2 linked regions of the Mus musculus genome follow. The protein of the gene in region 1 purifies or fractionates together with the protein of each later gene. This does not show direct contact. Links are inferred from orthologs where the notes say so. Each region holds a gene or a part of one and is shown on either strand. Other genes may lie near its edges. The genes, in order: Ofd1 and Cep20.

Region 1 (11,368 bases):
ATTAAATTATATATATTGGTGTATGTCTGTATATATGCATGAGTGTGCCTGAGAGTACCTGGGGAGGCCAGAAGAAGACATTATATTCTTTGGTGTTACAGCTACAGGCAGTTGTGAGCTGCCTGGTCATAGGTTCTGGGACCCAAATGCTGGTCATCTGGAAGAGTAGCAAATACATTTAACCCCTGAGCCATCTCTCTAGGCCCAACATTAATTGTTTGTTTCGATTTTTGTTTTTGTGTGTTTGTCTATGGAGGTCAAAGGACAACTTGTGGCAGTCAGTTCTCATGGATCAAGCTGGGGTTTGTAGCAAGTGCTTTTATCTGCTGAGGCATCTCTGGTTCTATAGGACTTTCATAAATATAGATAGAGGCTTGGGCTAGTGGCATTATCATTCTTAAGGGACTTTCCCTGTGTGAACATGTACAAACTGCTAAGGAAAACCTCCAAGAGAAGACTTCTCATTTAGTCTTGATTGGAGTTGGACAGAGCACTTATACTTTTTGCTCCTCTTCTGCAAAATCTGTCCCATAAGGAACCTTATCATCTTTAGAAATTGTGTTAAAAACGTGAAGTAGGGGGACACAGCTACCCAGGAACTCTGCCCCACCAGTGGCACAGGTTTCTTCTGGTCTGGGCCGGTCCCCTGAGCAGACCTTGGGCTCGAACTCCAGCCAGTCCCACAACATCCAGAGGAAGATCTGTTCCCAGGTGCTCCAATACTCCCAGAATCATAGGATCAGAGCCAGTCCCACAACAGCCAGAGGAAGCTCCAATTCCAAATGTGCTACCACACCCAGGATCATAGGATCAGAGGTGAGGAAGATACAACATCTAACCTAACACCAGGAGTGACAGAAACCAGCAGGACCCAGGCACTCAGGTTCCTTCCAGTCTGAGCCAGTGCCCTGAGCAGACGTTGGGTATGAACTCTGCAGCCAGTCCCACAACACCCAGAGGAAGCTCCACTCCCAGGCGCTCCAACACTTCTAGGATCATAACACCCAGAGGAATATCCACTCTCAGATGCTCCAACACTCCCAGGATCATAGGATCAGAGGTGTTCTGAGCAGACCTTGGGCGCTAACTCCACAGCCAGTCCCACAACACCCAGAAGAAGCTGCACTCCCAGGGCCCTAACATGCCCAGGACCACGGGATCCCAGGAGTTTGACCAAACACCAGGATCTCAGGGTCCCAGAGGGATTCCTAGGAGCTCTGACACATCCAGGATCTCAGGATCACAGGATCACAGAGACAGCTGAACTCTGAGAAGTTCTGACACAACCAGGATCACAGGAAGGACAGTCCCCAGTCAGATGTAGCAAGGGCAGGCAGAACTAGGGATAATCAGATTGCAGGAGGCAAGCATAAGAACAGAAGCAACAGAAAACAAGGTTACTTGGCATCACCAGAACCCAATTCTCCCACCATAACAAGTCCTGGATACACCATCACATTAGAAAAGCAAGATTTGGATCTAAAAATCACTTCTCATGATGGTGATAGAGGACTTTAAGAAGGTCATAAATAACTCCCTTAAAGAAATACAAGAGAACCTAGGTAGACAGCTAGAAGACCTTAAAGAGGAAGCACAAAAATCACTTAAAGAACTACAGGAAAACACAATCAGAGAGGTGAAGGAAATGAACTAAACCATCCAAGATCTAAAAATGGAAATAGAAACAATAAAGAAATCACAAAGGGAGACAACCTTGGAGATAGAAATCCTAGGAAAGAGATCAGGAGTCATAGGTGCAAGCATCACTAACAGACTACAAGAGATAGAAGAGAGAATCGCAGGTGCAGAAGATACCATAGAAAACATTGACACAACAGTGAAAGAAAATGCAAAATGCAAAAAATCTAACCCAAAAACATCCAGGAAATCCAGGACACAATGAGAAGACCAAACCTAAGGATAATAGGTATAGAAGAGAGTGAAGATTCCCAAATTAAAGGGCCAGTAAATCCCTTCAACAAAAGTATAGAAGAAAACTTCCGTAACCTAAAGAAAGAGATATCCATGAACACACAAGAAGCCTACAGAACTCCAAATAGATTGGACCAGAAAAGAAATTCCTCCTGTCACATAATAATCAAAATACCAAATGCACTAGACAAAGAATATTAAAAGCAATAAGGGAAAATGGTCAAGTAACGTATAAAGGCAGACCTATCAGAATTACAACACACTTCTCACCAGAGACTATAAAATCCTGGGCAGATGTCATACAGACCCTAAGAGAACACAAATGCCAGCCCAGACGACTATATTCAGCAAAACTCTCAATTACCATAGATGGAGAAACCAAGATATTCCATGACAGAAACACACTTATACAATATCTTTACATAAATCCAACCCTACAAAGGATAATAGATAGAAAACACCAACACAAGGAGGGAAAGAACAAGAAAGTAATCTTTCAACAAACCTAAAAGAAGCCACATAAACATAATTCCACCTCTAACAACAAAAATAACAGGAAGTAACAATCACTTTTCCTTAATGTCTCTTAACATTAATGGACTCAATTCCCCAATAAAAACACATAGACTAACAAACAGACTGGATATGTAAACAGGACCCAGCATTTTGCTGCATACAGGAAATGCACCTCAGTGTCAAAGACAAACACTACCTCAGAGTAAAGGTCTGGAAATCAATTTTCCAAGCAAATGATTCCAAGAAACAAGCTGGAGTAGCCATTCTAATAATGGATAAAATCGACTTTCAACCAAAAGTCATCCAAAAAGATAAGGAAGAACACTTCATACTCATCAAAGGAAAAAAAAATGTACCAAGAATTCTCAATTCTTAACATCTATGCTTCAGATGCAAGGGCAGCCACATTCATAAAAGAAACTTTACTGAAGCTCAAAGCACACATCGCACCCCACACAATAATAGTGGGAGACTTCAACACGCAACTCTCAGCATTGGACAGATCATGGAAACAGAAACTAAACAGGGACACAGTGAAACTAACAGAAGTTATGAACCAAATGGATCTAGCAGGTATTTATAGAACATTTCATCCTAAAGCAAAATAATATACCTTCTTCTCAGCACCTCACGGGACCTTCTCCAAAATTGACCATATAATTGGTCACAAAACAGCCCTCAACAGATACAAGAAGATTGAAATAATCCCATGCATCCCATCAGATCACGACAGACTAAGGCTGCTCTTAAATACCAACAAAAACAATGGAAAGCACACATATACATAGAAGCTGAATAACGCTCTACTCAATGATAACTTGGTCAAGGAAGAAATATAGAAATTAAAAGCTTTTTAGAATTTAATGAAAATGAGGACAGTTCATACCCAAACTTATGGGACACAATGAAAGCAATGCTAAGAGGAAAACTCACAGCTCTAAGTGCCTCCAAAAAGAAACTGGAGAGAGCTTACACTAACAGCTTGACAGCACACCTGAAAGCTCTAGAACAAAAAGAAGCAAATTCACCCAAGAGGAGTAGACAGCAGGAAATAATCAAACTCAGGGCTGAAATCAACCAAGTGGAAACAAAAAGAACTATTCAAAGAATCAAGAAAACCAGGAGCTGATTCTTTGAGAAAATCAACAAGATAGATAAACCTTTTGCTAGACTAACCAGAGGGCACAGAGACAGTATCCAAATTAGTAAAATCAGAAATGAAAAGGGAGATATAACAACAGAAACCAGGAAATCCAAAAATCATATATATCTTAAAACAGTTATTCCTCTTGTTGAATATTAACAGTTGAAAATAATAAAATTATGTTCTACAAACATCATGGAAATATTATTGATAATTTGTCTCACTGCTTGAAATTAGCATTTTCTTAATGTTTAACTTCAAGGAGCTTTTGCTATTTTGAAAAATTTAAAATATACTTTCTGATAAAATAATTTCTCTCCTATAAACACTGATAATCTTTTTTAAATAAACTGATTGTTAGACAATGTACACAGATATATAATGTATTTTAAATACTCTCACTATGTCAGGTGGTATCATATAAGGGCTTTTGAATATATTTCTTAATGATTCATTTTTAATATTTTATGCTCTTTTACTGTGCTTAACTCCCAATGAATATTTTGTATGTTTTGAAACAATTTAGTATTCAACATTAGATATAGGATCCTCAGTTATGGGTAGTATTACATATTCATTAATGATATTTTTAGGATAAGGATATGAATATAAAAGCTGAACAATTTTTTACCTATTATTTGATTCTCAAAATACTCAATATTATTATGTTTGATGTATAAAATGCATTTAAATAAGAAAAAATAAGAAAAAAAACCCTGAAGTAATGGTCAAGCCCACTGTATAGCTTTACTGTTGCAACATTTTAGTATTTATTGTCTTACTGGCTTCATTTATTTCATAAATTAGGATAGAAAAACATATTTCAATCTTCAGAAAAGTCATATGTTATATTGTCACCGAAAGAAAGTGGTCATCAGACTTCTGCCTGGCTATGCTTTTTTCTCTTCTTCAGTTTATCTACTTCTCCCTCAGGTGGTAGAGGGAGCAGAGAGCAGAATTGAGAGGAAGTTTGTCCTTTCTTCCAGCCCAGTCAACAGCCAGGTCCCTTTCTTCTCAGCCACAAACTTGAGAGGAAATGTCTTACTTTAGGTTGCCTATCTGCCCAAATAGGAACACCATTAACATTCCTGTACTGACTGTTGTTGTGTGTCAACTTGACACAGCTGGAGTTACCACAGAGAAAGGAGCTTCAGTTGAGGAAATGCCTCCATGAGATCCAACTGTAAGGCATTTTCTCAATTAGTGATCAAGTGGGGAGGGCCCCTTGTGGGTGGTGCCATCTCTGGACTGGTAGTCTTGGTTCTATAAGAGAGCAGGCTGAGCAAGCCAGGGGAAGCAAGCCAGTAAAGAACATCCCTCCATGGCCTCTGCATCAGCTCCTGTTTCCTGACCTGCTTAGGTCCTAGTCCTGACTTCTTTTGTTGATGAACAGCAGTACGGAAGTGTAAGCTGAATAAACCCTTTCCTCTCCAACTTGCTTCTTAGTCATGATGTTTTGTGCAGGAATAGAAACTCTGACTAAGACAACCCCACACACAACATAACTCAAAGCCACTCCATAGTAGTTTCATGGTCTCTGGAAGTACTCTAGAAGTCACAGTACTCAGGAAGGAGAGGAGCTACTGAAAAGGAGCAAGAGATTTTGATTATACTTATTCCTGAGTAAGTAAGTGTGCTTTGGGAGACAATTCATTTAACTAGACCCAAGCAAGCACCTTCTCTCTGTTGGGCATTGCCTAAGGGCTAGGTATATTCATTGAGCCAAATCAAGCTCCTGCCTTCATGGAGAGTGTGGGTTAAGAAGGTGGGGCAATGAAGGAGTCTAAAGGCTATCACTGAGCAGACGGTGCACCTGGCCATGTTCAAAGCCGAAGGAAGTAGCCAAAATACTAGCTAAGGGAAATCAGTGAGTAGCTAGATGTTCTGCCTTGAGATGTATAAGCAATCATGGCTCTTGAAATAGTTGATAAGTAGCATTGGTTATGTTTTGGTCATTTGAGAAATGCTTATATATTCATTTCTGCCTCTTCATCTAAGAACAACCCCCCCCCAAAAAAAAAAACAAAAATAAACAAACAAGAAACAGTAAAAATGTGATGTCCTTGAGGTTCCTAATGCTTCTGGTCTTGGCTTTTGTGTCCAACACGTTTCTATATAATTCTGCCACTTCCTCTCTCTTCCCTCTTCCCACTTTTTTCATCCTGCTCTGCATCTTGTTTTTCTTCCTTTCCCTGCCTTTTTTCCTTTCTTCTTTTTCCTTTATCTCAACAATAATCTTATTTTGTCATTGCTCTTCCCTGTGGGAAAGTAGAGCCATTTGAAGTAATCTCTCCTCTACTGGAAGGGAGGGACAGGGTAAGTGTGTCTCTGGAAAGAAGTGTGACTTTTGGGTATTTTAATTGTATGAAAAACATATATTGAATGGCTGGCTGGCTGGATAGATAGATAGAGAGATGTGTGGCCTTTTTTCAGTAAAGCTAGTTCTTATTCCTGCTAAGCATCTGGGACAAGGCACAACACCAGAGTCTGAAATCCTTTGGTGAACCTGTGGCATTGTTGCTGATTAGCATTTTTTGAGTGAAAAAAAATGTAGGTCATGGGCTGGAGCTGAAAGAATGGCCAGCATCATCATCTGTGAAACTGAGACTTATTTAAAAGGCAGGGACCTGTGCCAAGAATGAAAGGGAACAACAGACAAATAAAACATGAAGCTTGCTAAGAAGAAATAGAAGTGGGAAAAATACGCACACATGATTTTTTTCTTTCTTTTCTTTTTTTTTTTTAGAGAGGGGGTATAATGTATTGGCAAATGATGTGCTGGCATATTTATGTATCACTTGGAGGGTAAGGAGGACCTCACAGAGGAACTGTCTGTAGCAGCAAGATGAATTGGATAAGCACACAAGTACTGGTGGCTCAGTGGATCTGGGATAAACTCTGATGCCTGGGCTGCTCTTTAACTTGTGGGCTCAGCCTCTTGAGTTGCTAACATCATAGATGTGTATTTCCATGGCTTACCTAGACAGAGATGATGAAAGAACCAGTGTAACCTGGGGAGGAGGCTAGCATTTTGGGATTTCTCCATTTCTGTGACCAGAATCCCATTAAAAACATGATTGTTAGGCTGGGGAAAATGGTCAGAAATGAAGAAAGACATGGAAATGATTAGGGGTTAGAGATGGGTTAGTGGCTAAGAGCACTAAATGCTCTTCTAGAAGACCCAGCTTCAATTCCTATCATCCATATGGCAGCTCACCACTGTCGGTAACTCTAGTCCCAAGTGATCTGATGCTCTCTACTGGCCTTCTCAGGCATTGCATGCATGTGGTGCAGATACACATGTAAGCAAAGCACCTGTACACATTGAGTAACAATGGAGAGAAAAAAAAGGATGACCCCTAGCAAGGACCAGGATCAGTATAGCTTGAACTGAATAGTGGTGGTAGTGCCAGAGGATAAAGGGGAGGAGGGAGAGTTTTGTTCTGTTTGGGGATAGGAATGTCTCGAGCATCTTTTTTAGGCGTAGGGAGAAAGGGTTTTGAAATTACTGTGTTTATGAAACCCCTATTGATGCGCTAATAGTTCTAAAGATAGGGGATGGATTGTAATGAAACATGAAGGCAGAACTGTAGAATTTGCTATGGAGAGGCTGAAGCATGGAGAGAAGAGATGAATGAAGAGGATATGGTATGGAAGGACGACTGTTGGGGTCATTCATCGTGTGGTGGCTTATATCCATCTCAGGAAAGTAAAAGTCTAGGAGGGTTGCTAGGTGTCAGTCTGTGAGCTAGAAGATAATAAAAATAGACCAGCAGCTTAGAGCAGGTCATTAGAATCAGTAGAAAATCAAGCAGGCCTGCAGAAGACTAGATTTGAAAAATCTGATGCTGGTAGCTACTCACTCACTCTGTTTTCTGTCCTTTAAGGTGCTGTTCAGAGCCAAACTGGAGAACAAGACGAACAGGAGCTATGGGAGCTTCACATGAAAGAACGCAGGCAGAGAGAAGAACAAAGGCATAATGAACGGCAAGAAGCTTTAGAGAGGGAAAGAAGAGAGCTGGGAAAACTAGAGCAGGAGCGGGTACGGTGTCCCTTAAATCTCTGTATACATTTTTCCAGTGGGCACGGCACCTTCAGCAGGTACCTTGAGCTCAAGGCTGGGAGCCAGTAATGCTGTGAGATCAGAGAAGCAGCAGGTGACCTCAAAGGCATTCTCTTTCCCTTCCTGTTGTGCTCCTTCTGAGCAACTTGGTTTTGAAAAGACATCCACATGTATTCTCATCTGTTGTATACCTTCCCTCTGTATGTGCACTCCAGGAGAGCCAGCTTGCCAGTTGGAAGAACTAGGGCAAGAAGGTGCATCTAGTCAATCTACAGTGACGTCTAGGCACATACAGCTTTTCTACCTCTCTCCTTGCCGTTTTTGTTCTGATTTTAGTGCTAGGCAGATGGATTACTCTTGGCTAGTTAACATGCCTTAAAAATGTTCCTTGGCCTCCTGGTTAATCCCTTCCTTCCTTGAAATGACATGTTTGTCTGATGATAGCAATGACTTTAATTTTAAGCACTTTCTCTGGTATGCAAGTTATGCTACCAGAATAAGGATCTTATTAGTATGATTTTTAAGACTGAGAAGCTTATAAACTATGTTCATATATTTCTTCTTTTGCCGCTGGTCTGTTTCTAGAGGATGATTGAAGAGTCACTGAAGATGGAGATGGAAGAAGAATTAGAAAAGAGTGTTCAAGACCAGAAAGACAAATCAGCTCATTGTGAAAATACTTTAGAAAAATACATGAAAATTATCCAGCAGAGACAGGAAGAATCAAATGCAGATAAGGTGCCTATGCTGTGGCTAGCAGTCAGATGGCAGAGGAGAGGGGAGGCACTGGGAGCCTTATTCTGACACCTTGGGACATGTATTCTTTATTGAAGACACAAAGATTAAAGGCCATAAAGTGAATACTTGAAATAGAACCAGGATTCTGTAAAATATATACACTGTTGACAAAATTTCAGCCTTAGTTTAGGTAAAACATTGAAGAGATTCTAATTTTTAATTTTGTACCTAATAGGATATTTTATTGAGTTATAGATTGTGAAACATTTTTTCTGTCTGAATTATGAATACTGAAAATACATGCTATGTGTTATTTTGATGTACTTGCTAAGTTTCACTTTAAAGTGGCTCTTAAATATGTTTCCAAAATAATTATTAGAGAAATCAAAGTGTACTATTTCTTGGCCTTTTTCTGAAGTTAACTTGTTTCAAAATTTTTCTTTCTCCATTCTGTGTCAGAGCTCCAAAAAATCGGGCAAAGAATGCTCACTAGTGGACATGATGATGCCTAGTGACAAGGATGAAAGGTATGGCTTCCTTCAAACATGTCCCTCAGGCAAATCAGTATTGCTCATGTTACCAGATAAAAATGATCAGATACTTGAGCTTGCCTTAAAGAAACCATTGGATTAGTAAAAATTACTCCTTTTGAAAGTTAGTATATGATAGTATATTCTGGTAATTCCAGCACTCTGCTGCCTGAGACAGGAAGATCAAGAGTTTGAAGCTACCTTGGGCTACATAGTAAGACTCTCAAAAGTTATGAATTTAAAAGGGATGGAGGTTTACTTCAGTTAGCAGAGTGTTGAACTAAAAGGTAGAAGTCCCTGGGTTCAATCCCAGACACTCATAAACAGGGCATGGTGCCACATGCCTGTAATTCCATTACTCAGGTAGAAGCAGGAGGTATTTAAAAATTTAAGGTAAGTTTTGTTTACATAGGCCAGCCTGAGGCACAGGAGGCCTTTATTAAAAAATAAAACAGAACAAAATAAAAAGCCACTGGCCTCAAAAAGTCGATTGTGATTTGACTTGTGAAATTGACCCTAATACTAATTGTAAGTGAGAGCAAAAACACGACAAGAAAGGAGGAGGACCATTCTGAAGATGTAGAGCAGTGCTTCTTAGCCTTCCCAATGCCGTGACCCTTTAATACAGTGCCTCATGCTGTGGTCACCCCAACCAGGAAGTTATTTTCATTGCTACTTCTTAACTGTAATTTTGCTACTGTAGGAATTGTAAATATATGTTTTCCGATGGTCTTAGGTGACCCCTGTGAAGGGTTGTGACCTACAGATTAAGAACCTGATGATGTAGAAGTTGGCATGAATTTTTTAAACATCTAATTTTTCTCTTTAGTTCTCCAGGATTTTCTCATGAAGAACCAGATGACATGTGGTAATAACATTAGCTGTCTAGTTTCTCACAAGAAGTCACGTAATATGTGTTCTTGTTTTTCTGGAATTAAAGTTGTCAAAAAAACTTTGTGTATTTTTTTAACATTGTTTTAATTTTATACCATAATGTCTGAGACAACAGTAACAGAGTCAGCTGAACCCTTCCCCCCTCCCCTTTTATTTTTGGAGACAAGATCTCTGTGAAGCCCTGGCTGGCCTTGAAGTCACAGATTCGCCTGCCTCTGCCTCCCTTTGAAGGCATGCACCACCACACTTGGCCCATGTAGTCCTCTAGCCATGGCATGTATTCATTGTTTTAAAATGACATTCCTCTCTCTGGCTTTGTCTTAAGTTACATCTATTTGAAAACTTATCTTGTCACCTTCCAGGCTTGCATTTGCTAAGTTTAAGCTGTGTGCCTCCTGCTCCACACTTGGGCTATAATGTGTAAAACAGGAAGCCATCCTCCCAGCACAGTTTTGTCCCTGGACATGAACACAAATCTTTTCATTGTAATGTCTATAAATAATATTTTGCATCTGGTGTGGTTAAACTTGTAGGTTCTCCAGTATTCATATGTTTGAACCCTAGTGTGATGGTATTAGCTGGTGGGCCTCTGGGGCGTGATGCCATGAAAGCAGACCCTCCTACATAGAATGAATGAGAGCGCAGTCATCCCTTTCAGAAGTACCAAGAACTTGACACTGTACAAACCAAGGCCTGACCCTTACCAGGCACTGAACTTGCCAGCACTTTGTTACTGAGATTCTCAGTCTCCAGAACTGTAAAAATGAAACAAAAACTCCAAAGTTCTATTCTTTACTCCCTACCTTGTCTAAGATTATTTTTGTAGCAGGAGTAAGCCAGCATCTTTACTGTAGAATCCTTTAATCTTATTTATAATGGATAATGGGTGAACTTGTTGATTTTTAAATATTTAGGTTACTAAATATTTTAAATATTTTAAAATATAATAAAAAGGTAACTTATAACTCTGACTTCTTTTTTTTTTTTAACCCTCCAAGACAGGGTTTCTTGGTCTAGCAGTCATGGCTGTCCTGAAACTCACTTTGTAGGTCAGATTGGCTTCAAACTTATAGAGATCTGCCTGTCTCTGCTGCTCAAGTGGTGGGACTAAAGGTGTGTGCCACCACCTGGCTCATTTCATCCTTTAAAGTGTGTGTGTGTGTGTGTGTGTGTGTGTGTGTTTAAACCAGAGGTAATTGGAAAAACCTGTGTCCCCCAGAGGTTCCTATGTTTGATGGTAGAATTACTGTCAAGGTTACTTGTGGTTGTGTTAAAGCACTCTAGTATTTATTCAGGAGGCTTATCCAGTGACACAGTGCAGCCTGAGCAGACGGTGTTAAGTGAGACAAGCTTCATTACATTGGAGCTCCTGCTCATTTCCCTGCAGTGCGTGAGTGAAGGGGAATGATCCAGAGGCAAGTCCTCATTTAGAGGTGCTGTGCCCAGAATGCTAAAGGCACGGCCTCACATGGAGAGCAAATGCATAGGCACCCTGACAGGGTTCTTTCAAGTTAGACAAGGAAATCCCCACACAAATTTAGTGCTGCTGCT
Region 2 (11,782 bases), on another chromosome or scaffold:
TGGCCCAGCCCTCTACTTCTTTCTTTTTTAAGCTGCTTTTCTTTTCTTTTCTTTTCTTTTCTTTTCTTTTCTTTTCTTTTCTTTCTTTCTTTTTTTTAATAGTCCCAGCTGTCTTGGAACTCTAGCTCTGTTCTAGCTCAGCCTTGAAATCACAGATGTCCAGTTGACTCTACCTCCAGAGTGCTGGGACTAAAGGCATACACCACCAACAACTGGCTTTTTTAAACTTAAAAAAAATGTATGTATATAGGTGTTTTGTCTGCATGCATGTCTGTACACCACATACGTGCCTGATTCCCTCAGAGGCCTTGGAGCTGGAGTTACAGGTGATTGTAAGGCACCATGTGGGTGCTGGGCATTGAAGCTGGACCTCTAGAACAGCGAGTGCTCTGAACCGCTCTGAGACATTGCTCCAGCTCCTCCCCCTTCTTTCTAAGAATGACTCTTCTTGGCCTCTTGATCTTTTTTTTCTTCTTTGTAAAGCTTTGTTCTTCGAGTTGTTTCTTCTTCATATTTAACTCTTCCTCCTTCCTTCCTTCCTTCACTTCAATGTAGGAACTAACTCAGATCTCATCTCTAAACAGAGGAAAGGGGCCTTCCAGTCAGCTTCCTCTTATCCCACCTCTGCTTTATAGCTTATCATTGCCAGACCTGTTGTGTCTGCCCTCTGCTTTCACGTTACCATCCCCTTCTCTTCTGCTGCCTGCATCGGAAATTGTTCCTTCTCCTCCTCTACATGAGTCATTTCTTAGTTCCTTCCCTGTGTTTAATGCCTTTTATATTTTTCCAGAGTCCCTAACTGGTTAATTGGTTAGCTTGTACCTAGTGCCAGAGTGCACAGCTCAGAGAAACCTTTCCTTGCTGAAAACTTCTTTGAAGATTTATGTTTTCCTTCTAAAAGTTCATGGATTTTTTTCATTTGTTTTTGTGGTATAATTATATTTTAATATAAAGTTTTTTTTTTTAAGATTTTTAAAAATTTATTTATTTTATGTATATGAGTACACTGTAGCTGTACAGATGGTTGTGAACCTTCATGTGTTTGTTGGGAATTGAATTTCTAGGATCTCTGTTCGCTCTGGCCAATCCTGCTCGCTCTGATTTGCTCAGGCCCAAAGATTTATTTACTATTATACATAAGTACACAGAGCTGTCTTCTGACACACCAGAAGAGGGCGTCAGACCTCATCACGGGTGGTTGTGAGCCACCATGTGGTAGCTGGGATTTGAACTCAGGACCTTCGGAAGAGCAGTCAGTGTTCTTACCTGCTGAACCATCTCACCAGCCCTGAATTGTTTTTTAGTTTTTTAGTTTTTTGTTTTTTAAAAGATTTATTTATTTATTATATGTAAGTACACTGTAACTGTCTTCAGACACTCCAGAAGAGGGTGTCAGATCTCATTATGAATGATTGTGAGCCACCATGTGGTTGCTGGGATTTGAACTCAGAACCTTTGGAAGAGCAGTCAGTGCTCTTAACCTTTGAGCCATCTCTCCAGCTCCCTCCCCCCGACCCCCAAACTGTTTTTGTATATGCCATTTAACTAAGTCTCCCTCAGTGCTGTCCTGTCCCTAGCATCAAGTATGGGTCCTGAGTTTTTGCAGCACGTTGCAATACTGACTTCTTTTTTCTCCACACAGCTTCCCATCCCATGTTTCTTGTGGTTCTTCACTGTCATAAGAGTTCCCCAGACTTACTTAGTCTTTCTTTCTTCATTGACTCCTTTAAGTTTCAGTGGGCACTCCATAGAGAGTGTCTTCCGTTTCCATTTCTTTTCACACACCACCCCTATACCCGAGCCTCTAGGGAGGTCTGCATGGGGCAGATGGGCTTGGATCACTTTCCTGCTGGGGCCCATGTGTCTGTGGCATCTTAAATGCAGTGTGTTGAGAATACCAGGGTGCTCTTCTTGCCGACTCACAACGCTCCTTACAGGCTTTTCTTGTGGCTGCTCAGGCTTTAAAGGCAGAGCCACAGGCAGGTTAAAGACAGGTTTTCTTTCTCCTTCAGCAGCACTGTTGCCTCTGCCTCTGCTTATCTCTCAGTCTCAGTGCCTTGTGCCACACTGTTGACACTATCAGGAGCCACCTGGCTAGTTCTCCAGTCGCTCCCTTTCCAAACTCTTTTTACCCTGCCCTCTGTCTTCCTAAGGCAGCTACTGTATTGCTTAAAAACATGCAATGAATTTCCATGGTGTATGTGAGCAAGTCAGATCCTTAGTATTGCTTCAGCTTCAGTGGCTCGACCCACCTCTTAGTGGCACACAGTTATTGCAGCTTCATGGTTCATGGCCTTTGCACCAAATGTTCCCTCTCCTCTCCAACTTCTGTGGGTTCACCTTTTATCTTCTTGGCCATGTTTAGATGTTCCCACAGGAGTTGGGAGGGAGAAAGCCACCCACAGGCTCTTGTGCTCACTGCATTGAATTTCAGCTTCCAGGAAAACTGATTGTCCGCATAAAATCCAGGTGACCTCGAGAAGAAGAAAAGAAAGCATTTCTTAGTTCCATAGTTTCATGTTTTCTCCTCTTTGTCTTTGTGCTGACATGACAAGGCTACAGCAGATTTTAACAGCAAGCTAAGCAGACAGACTACAAAGGAGCGTAATAGCTATTATGCTGCATTTTAAATAAATAAAATTATTCGAATAAGTGCTGCATGTACCAGTTGAGTGTTACTGTAACACTGTATATTTCTCTGCTGCTTACTGCACTTTGTCATTGATTTGCATTGGGTGTCCAGATGTTGTCCAGCTCTGGGCTGGGTAGCTGAGGAGCTCTTTCTGAAGGAAAAGCTTTGAAGCACTAGGTGTGAGAGAGTATAGTGAGCTGACTGTTTGCCTACACTTATTTTGCCTATGTATTAACACAGTGTTTGACTTATGTAGTGACATGGCATGAACCTTAGATAGGGAACAGTGGCCTAAGTGAGGAGAAATCACTTTTGAGGGGTCATAATGAAAGTATTGGTGTTTTGCTGCAAACCATGTAGGAGATATAGAAAAGTGTGCTATTGCCCCCAGCTGCTGCCCACTGATAGCTGTCACTGCCCAGAGGTGACTCAGTGAGCAATTCCCCTTGTATCATTCAGACACAGCACATGAAGCACAGCTGTGTGGTTTTCCTTCCACATATGAAGGAATCGTATTGTGTATATACATCTCTTTTTCAAACACTTTAGTTCCTCTTATTTGAGGGTCACTGTATTTTGTCTCAGAGGTTTTTTTTTATCTACACAAAATGAGAGAGTGTCTATTGAAGGCTGTCTCTGCTTCCTTTCCTTCCCATGCAGACCACATCTTCCCCTTTAATGGCGTTCTTGTGTTGTGGATTTCCAGCATTTTACTATTTTGCCAAAACTTATCTGATACTTGCTACAATGTGGGGCATTGCTGTAGACACTGGAGATGTGGCAGCACAGTTTTCTACAGTGTCCCCAGAGAGTGACTGGGGAGTGCGTAGTCTATGAGATGCTCACAAACTGCCATTGAACTACATTCCCTCCTGGTCATTTATGATCTGCTTAAATGGTGCATGTACACGGAGAAATCCTGCCACACGAAGAGCCTTTGCCGTCTAACTTGGGTTATCCATATTTGTTTGGTGAAAAAATCTTTAAGGGGGCTGTTATCCCCATTTTACAGAGCTAGTGGTCATGGGTATAATAATCACTACATTTGAATGTTAAGCAAAACAGTGGGTAATGGTTTAAACATTTGGACAGTTTTTGAAATGTGTGGAGATTCTAAGAGTAGCTATCTTAGTCAGTGTGAACAGACACCATGACCACAGCAGCTCTTATAAAGGAAAACGTGTAATTGGGGCTTGCTTACAGTTTCAGAGGTTTAGTTCATTCTCTTCTTGGTGGGAAGCATGGCACCACACAGGCAAGCATAGTATTGGAGAAGTAGCTGAGAGATCTCCACCTGGAACTCTAGGCAGGAGAGAGAGGACACTGATACTAGCTTCTGAAACCCCAAGGCCCACCCCCAACCTCTTCCAACAAGGCCACACCACACCTCTTAAATCCCTCTCAAGTAGCACCACTCCCTGATTCAAATGAGCCTCAGATGGCCATTTTTATTCAGACTACCACAGTAGCAGGTATAGGGCCATCCAAGTAGAAGTTAGTTTGCATTTGACGGGTGTCTAGCAAGTAGCTGTTAGATTTTTTTTTTCCTAGCTCTTTGATAGCCTCTGAAACCTTTGCTGCAGATGAACAAGTTCAAAGGGGAAACTGGTGACCAGCTTTATTTTCAGAGAGTGAGGGAGCCTCTTCAGGAGTGTGTGTGTTGGGGGAGTGTGTGCTGGAGATCAACCTTGGGGCTTTGCGCATGCGAGGTGAGTGCTTGTCACTGAGCAACACCTAAAATTTTTTTTAAAAAAACATGGCCTTTTAAAACTTATTTTTGGAAATAAACTTTACTGTCGAATTGTATGTTAAATGTGCTAATTACCATGTAAAGCAGTTTAAGATCTCTGATGAAGATGTTTCTAAATCTGAAGCAGATTCTATCCTAGGTCAGAAGTAAAGCTTTTAGCAATCTCAAGCAAGCTGGCTGGAAGGAGCAGAGGCGTGGGGTCTGTCTCCCTGAGAGCCTGTAGTGCTTTCCTCGTCCTGGGGAGCTGCTGTCACATCCATGTGCTCCGGATAGCTTTTGAGGTTTCAGGCTTCTGGAACTTGTACTGAAGCCATGAGATCTTCTTCAGACTTCCTAAGTTCCTCATATATGTGCCTGTGTGTGGGACTGCTTGAATGTCCACAGGCTGTGCCTCCCCACCCGCAGAGAGTGATCCAAGAAAGCAAGTAATTGCCCCTTGCCACCTTGTCCCATAGGTAGAAGTGAGTGAGGCTCAGTCAAGCATAAGATGTGTAGACCCTGTTCTTGATAGAAGGGTCATACTTTGAACCATTTTATCAGCTGGGCAGGAGATGGATATCTCAAAAGGAAATGCATTTACTTGTATTTCCTGGGGTGAGATTGGAAGCGAAGAGAGAACACTTCTGTGCTTTCAGTAGAGCAGCCTTCAGTGTCAGGGGACCAACCAACAGGACTTTTGGTGACATATTTTAAGAAATGGCATATAGGAGTTGGTTATGAGTATAAATGTTGTTTACTCCTGAGGAACTCTGGCACATTATTGAATTCTGGTTTTCTCAGTCATAAATGGTGGTAGTATAGTGATGGGTAAGAGGAAACTACAAAGCAGCCTTGTAGATATTAGTTACTACCCGGCTCTCCTGTTAATTCATATGCCATTTTCTTTTTTTTTTTTTTTTTTTTTAAATAAATACTTCCTGGAGAACACTTAACATCATTCACATCAACTTTATTTTTTTTTTTTTTTTTTTTATTTTTTAGATTTGTTTATTTTATTACATGTAAGTACACTGTAGCTGTCTTCAGACACTCCAGAAGAGGGCGTCAGATCTTGTTACAGATGGTTGTGAGCCACCATGTGGTTGCTGGGATTTGAACTCTGGACCTTTGGAAGAGCAGTCGGGTGCTCTTACCCACTGAGCCATCTCACCAGCCCCATATGCCATTTTCTATGTGCAAGGTACATAGCTAGAGACTTGACATTGTCAACAGGATACCAAACATGTAACCTAGGGATTGCTTACAGCCTTTATGGAAGAGAAACATCTGTGGAACTTTAGGAAACAGATCTTCAAGGTCTGCAGCTGGCTGTCCGCCAACAAGATATGAAGGCAGAGCACATGGTTTTTGAGCATAACCTTGACAGGACAGTGGATGTGTAACCAGTTCTAGGTTCTAGGAACGTCTTAGGCTGGTCTTGGAGTTAACAAGCTGAATTCCAGTAGATTAATTGGGATTTTGTTTTAGTTTAGAAGATCTTAATTGTGGCAGTGTGTTTTCTGAGGGTTTTAAAAAGATCTCACTCAAGGTAATTGGTACTTTTAAATTGAGTGAACATTTGCCACTTAGGTAATCTTTTTTTTTTTTTTTTTTTTTTTAATTTATTGAGTTAGATGGCCGTTTCTGTGTCAGAGTTTACCTTTAAAGTGATTGTCGTAAGCTTTTCCTACTTCTGGGAAGTAAATTGATTTTGGTTTTGTCTTCTTCCGGAAATAGTCCTCTATTGTATGGAATTTTAGCCCATTTCTTGCGTGGTCCTCCAGATGGAGCCCAGAATGTGCTTCTGACAGAGTCAACCCTGCACCCGGCAACCAAGCATCTCAGCTGGAAGCCCAGCAGAAGACCTGACGGTAGGCGCTTCCGCTACTCATCCTTGAGCTTCATTGGGTTTGTTCTCTGGAGCTGGTCTGGTCATCATCAGCCTGTACTACTGCACCTCCAGAAAGCCAGCGCTTTGGGGGAAGAGATCTTGACTGGGCAAAGTGCTCAGATACAATTTCAAAGCAAGGTCTTGAAAACCTGATTTTCACATCAGCAGGGTCTTTGAAACAGCCTGGCTCAGCGCATTGTATAGTTTTCTTTGAAATCAAGAAGTTGCCTCCCCCCCCCCCCTCCCCGACACCCTCTCCCCCATCTTTCCCAGACTGAAAAATACAAGATTACTACTGTGCAGAGAAGCCATGTCTGTGTTCCCGGTACATTTCCAGGACACTTGCTATGGTAGATGACAGTTAACTACAGATAACAGAATTTAGACTCTGACTCTCATTCAGTTTGGCCTTGAGCTTGCCATCAGTCAGTCTTCTTTCCTCGGCTTGAGTGCCAGGATTAGATGTGTGAACAGCCATGCCCTGCTCAGAATGCTCCCCTTTACGGTGAGCTTTCAGAGCGAAGCATGGTGACTCAGACTTGTAATCCAGGCAGTGAAGACTGAGGCCAGCCTGGGGTGCATACATAGTGAGGTCGTCGCCAAGGTGACACAAAGCTGAGTAAGTAAGTAAATAAGGTAGAAATGATAGAGTGAAACGAGCTTATGGTGATTAGGCAGCAGGTCCTGAGTTTGCTTGTGTGAGCTGGGTGTTTCCCATGGAGCAGAGTTGGTGCTCGTTCTCAGAAGGGTGTTTACAAGTGGGGTTCAGGCAGCTGATACGGGATTTGAAGTAAATTCTTAAGAAATGCCGAGGATGCAAATTGCTCTGCTACAACCAATGCTGCTGCCCCTTCTGAGTGACTTGCTGCTTCTTAAGTTCTGAAAGCAACATACTTGTGAGTCAGGATAAGCCCTCAAGATATTTGTGACTTAACTAGTTTTATTCTCTGTTTGTTGTGATGCTGGGCTGACTGTGTTATGTTAGACTAACTTTCTACTAACTTTTACTAACTTCCTAGAGAGCCAAGACTGGGAGAATAGCGACTCAGTGCTGGCTAAAGTTTAACACAAGGCCACTGTTCAGACCCACCAGAGCATGAGAGTGGGGGCTTTCCAAGTTCATGCCAGAATCACTAAGGCTCTGACACTAGTGTAGAATACTAGCCCACTAACCCTGCTAATGCCTCTTGAAAGTCTCGAGGACTGTACAGTTGCCTTTGACCTTCTCTGCCCTGCCCATCTTGACTCCTCATACCCCTTCTCTTCCATGGAAGACACTCATGTTGGCCCTTTACGGGTCATTTGGGACTAATTCTGTGTGTTCAAGGATCCAAATCTATCTTAGCTGGCAGTGTGCTTATGGATCAGTGGGTCTGGGCCTCTATGGTGTGGTATTGCTACAGCTGTTTTTTACTGATGAGCTAAGGCTAAGGTTTCAGTTTTACAACTGTGTAAGGTTGTATCTTTGTCTGTATAGAATGATATCTCTCCTGTGATGGTACCTAAAACAGAATTGCTGGTTCACAGACAGCATGGCGTATTTAAGTATGTAGTTCATATTATTTAGTTCCCTGGAAAGGCTTTACTAGTTTGCACACTTAGGAGGAATGCGTGACAGTCCTCAGTTCCTGTCCCTGCTGGATGGTGATGACCCATTAATACTCGTTAACACAGCAACCACAAGACTCTAATTTAGTATTATGAAGAAAAATAATGTTTTGGGATCTAACCTTTGTAATAATGTTAGAATCTCTTTAATATTAGTGTTAGTGGCAATAGAATGTTGAAAATGAGAAAACTGGTCATAAACCAGGGTCAGTTCTTATAAGGTGAAAGTTTTAAACTATCTCTCATAACCTTCCACTGCAGGGAGGGAGGAAGAAGAGGGGGGAAGGAGGAGGGAGGTAAGCTGGGAAGAGAGTCACCCCAAGATGCTTAGTGCTACAAGCAGTGAGAGGCCAGTCAGTGCCGTGGGTTTGGGTACTTCCTCTGCAGAAAGCTCCAGGGACAGCTCATGAATGAGGGTGGCCGCAGAGCTCCAGGGACAGTGATGTTGCAGCTATTTTCTCTCTCTCTTTGTTTGTTTTGTTTGTTTGAGACAGAGGTTCTCTATAGTCCTGGCTGACCTGGAACTAGCTCTGTAGACCAGGGTAGCCTTGAACTGAGAGATCTACCTGGCTCTGCCTCCTGAGTATTGGGATTAAAGGCTTGGATCACTATGCAAACTAGAAAATAACTAAGTTATTTTCTTGATCATCAATTTTTTTTTTCTTGACACACAGTGACCTCTACGTAATGCCTTGAGAATAGTCTCAGCTATAAGATATCATTTGTAACACGGTTGTTCTTTGAGTCCACCTACTACAGCAGCCGCATGACTCCTGCTTGACAGCTCATCTGGTTTTAGTGGAAGATGTTGGAAAAGATTCCATAGGCACCCACCTTTAGCAGGATAGCCTGCCACTTAGTCCTGCACTGAGTGGATGTGATCTTTGAGGCAGGGTAGATTTTGTTCTAAGTAAAAGTTAAGGCTTTTATGATCGGTATGCAACAGAAGGGAGGAACCAACTTCTAAAAGTTGTCCTTTGATTTCTGTGTGCACCTGCTGTGGCCTATGTATACACACTCACATGTATGTATGCACACACACACACACACACACAGACACACAGAAAAATAAATTTAATTTTAAAAGCCCTTTATTTTAAATTTTATGCTTGAGCTTTTTTTAGATACAGGGTCTTATCATGTATCCTAGGTTGCTCTCACTGGTGGCAATCCTCCTGCCTCCATTTCTTTAGCTGGGATCATAGGCATATGACCGGGACTGTTTGTTTGTTTGTTTTTCGAGACAGGATTTCTCTGTGTAGCCCTGGCTGTACTGGAACTCACTCTGTAGACCAAGCTGGCCTCAAACTCAAAAATCCACCTGCCTCTGCCTCCCAAGTGCTGGGATCAAAGGCGTGTGCCACCACTGCCTGTCTCGGACTTTTTTTTTTTAAAACAAAGTTTTATGTTTGTGTGGTGGTGGTGGTGGTGGGTGGTATTTACCTGTATGTATGTCTGTGTACCTCGTGCATGCCTGGTGTCTTAGGAAGCCAGAAGATGGCATCAGATTTCCAGAAACTAGACTTATAGACCATTATGAGCTGCCATGTGTCCAGTGGGAACTGAACGTGGGTTCTCTAGCAGCAAGTTCTGTGAACCACTGGACTATCCCTCCAGCGTGGCATGTGTACCTGTAACCCAGCATGGGTGGAGCAGAGCCAGGCAGATCTCAGTGTGGATCAGGATGGCATTTATTATTCTACCTCAGCCTCCCAAGGGATGGTCTTAAAGGTGTATCTCCCCATGCCCAGCTTATCTTTGGATTTTATTTTATTTAGTTATCACTTTTATTACACTTATATCTATTTGTGCATGCATGGACCATAGTGCATATGTGGGGGTAAGGGACAACGTGTAGGAGTCAGTTCTGTCCTTCCATGTAAGTTTTAAAGATCAAAGTTGGAGTCAGACTTTGTGGCAGCATCTTTACTCCCTGAGCCATCTTGCAGGCTTTAAAAGTACTTTCTACCATTTCCTGGATAGTGTTACAATAGATACAAAACAACCCCCTTTTTTGTGTTCCACAGGAGGGCTCAGCTAACAGGCAATCATAGTGGTTTTGTTGGCCCTACAATGCTGATTGCACACTTGTCCTTCCTCCTGAGTCCATTCCTTATATCTGAGATAGTGGCTTACAGGGCTCCACGCTGCACTTCACTCCAAGGGGAAAAAAGAAAAAAGAAAAGCTGAGCCTGTGCTTGAAGCCTGTGACATCAGCACTCAAGCTGAGGCAGAAGGCCAGCCTGGGCTAAACAGTGAGACCCTCTTGTTCCTCTACCCTCCAAATGAAGAAACACTTGAATTATTACAGTTAGTCTCTAATACCAAACAGTTATGATTTCTTCAGTGATGCTTAAGACATGAGTAGAGTTCACAAAGATAGTTCAGCAGGTTTGCTGCCAAGCCTCATGACCCGAGTTCAATACCTGGACACACATGGTAGAAGGAAAGCACTGATTCTCTCAAGTTGTCCTCTGACTTCTGCATGCATGGTAGTACAGTACATGTTGTAAGGAAAACTCATAAAGTACTAACACAATGCCCTATAACATAAGTGCTTGCTTGTCTGCCTGTTGGGATTTGCAGTGAATATTGACACCTGTGTGTTTTCTCTAGATGACCACGTGAGGAAGGACACAGGGCCAAGAACCACAACTGAAGAGCTTCCTGCTGCTGCACAAGCAGTCAGCAGATGATGCGATGCATACACCAGGCTCATCACCTCAGCTGTGTGTGGAGTAACCGACGTATTATTCCCAATGCCATCAATTAGACCACCACTGCTTGTAAATGTTTGAGTGTCTGCATTCAGCCACTCATGGTTTACTGCATCTGTGGAAAGCTGATCTGTCGTCTCGCTTGCTGGATGCCACTGGGGAAAATTTATTGTTTTCAGGATGTATTTTTAAAGTTCTCATTTGTGAAATCTGAAAGGGCTTTTTAGTACTTTGTATAGGGTTTTGTTTTGGGTTTTTTGGCCAGCTCTAAGGGCTGTTGCTATGCTGCTGGTAAAGCACTTCCCTCCCTATGCAAGGTCCTGGGTTCAGTCCTAGCACTGAAGAAAGAAAGCACAAGAACAGGTCTTTGTCCATGTGCTCTGCTCATTAAACTTTTTTCAGCTAGAAGTATATGGACCTATGGGGAAAGTCATTCATGTTTTGAAAAAATATCTAAAGGAATATTAAAACCAGAACTTAATTTATATGAAGTTTGATTTTTTAAAAAATACCTGAATTATTATTGCCTGCCCTGGCTAGTTTTATATCAACTTGATACAAGCTAGAGTCATTTGGGGAGAGGGACTCTGAATTGAGAAAATCCCTCCATCAGATTGGCTTATGGGCAAACCTGTAGTACATTTTTCTTGATTCATGATTGATATGGGAGGGTCCAGCCCACAGTGGGTGGTGTCACCCCTGGGCAGGTGATCCTGGGTTCAGTAAGAAAGACTGAGCAAGCCATGGGGAGCAAGCCACTAAGTAGCACTCCTCTGTGGCCTCTGCATTAACTTCTGCCGTGATTTCTCTCAGTGACAAACTGTGATGTTGAACTGTAAGCTGAAATAAACCTTCTTCTTCCCAAGTTGCTTATGGTCATGGTCTGTCTGTCTTTCTTTCCTTCCTTCTCTCTCTCTCTCTCTCTCTCTCTCTCTCTTTCTTTCTTTCTTTCTTTCTTTCTTTCTTTCTTTCTTTCTTCCTTTCTTTCTTTCTTTTTTCAAGACAGGGTTTCTCTGTGTAGCCATGGCGGTCCTGGAACTCACTCTGTAGACTCAGAAATCCACCTGCCTCTGCCTCCCGAGTGCTGGGATTAAAGGCGTGCATCACCACGCCCAGCGGTCATGGTCTTTATAACATCAATGAAAACTCTAATGTTGATCTTTAAACTAGATAACAATACTCTTTCCCCAAGAACAGTTTAGCTT

Evidence for each region.
Region 2: the proteins of Ofd1 (region 1) and Cep20 purify together in Homo sapiens (co-immunoprecipitation; 3 studies listed by BioGRID and IntAct, with this or other methods). This does not show direct contact. The link is inferred for Mus musculus from reciprocal best matches to the Homo sapiens genes OFD1 and CEP20.

What each region holds. Positions count from the first base shown.
Region 1 is NC_000086.7:166,389,443-166,400,810, reverse strand, and holds the end of Ofd1 (oral-facial-digital syndrome 1 protein homolog), read left to right. Parts: intron 1-7,479; coding exon 7,480-7,634; intron 7,635-8,240; coding exon 8,241-8,393; intron 8,394-8,852; coding exon 8,853-8,920; coding exon of another isoform or gene 8,921-9,026; exon of another isoform or gene 9,027-9,752; coding exon 9,753-9,795; 3' UTR 9,796-10,778; downstream 10,779-11,368. UniProt on the Homo sapiens protein: Component of the centrioles controlling mother and daughter centrioles length. Recruits to the centriole IFT88 and centriole distal appendage-specific proteins including CEP164. Involved in the biogenesis of the cilium, a centriole-associated function.
Region 2 is NC_000082.6:14,298,904-14,310,685, reverse strand, and holds the end of Cep20 (lisH domain-containing protein FOPNL), read left to right. Parts: intron 1-6,098; coding exon 6,099-6,232; intron 6,233-10,476; coding exon 10,477-10,556; 3' UTR 10,557-11,442; downstream 11,443-11,782. UniProt on the Homo sapiens protein: Involved in the biogenesis of cilia. Required for the recruitment of PLK1 to centrosomes and S phase progression.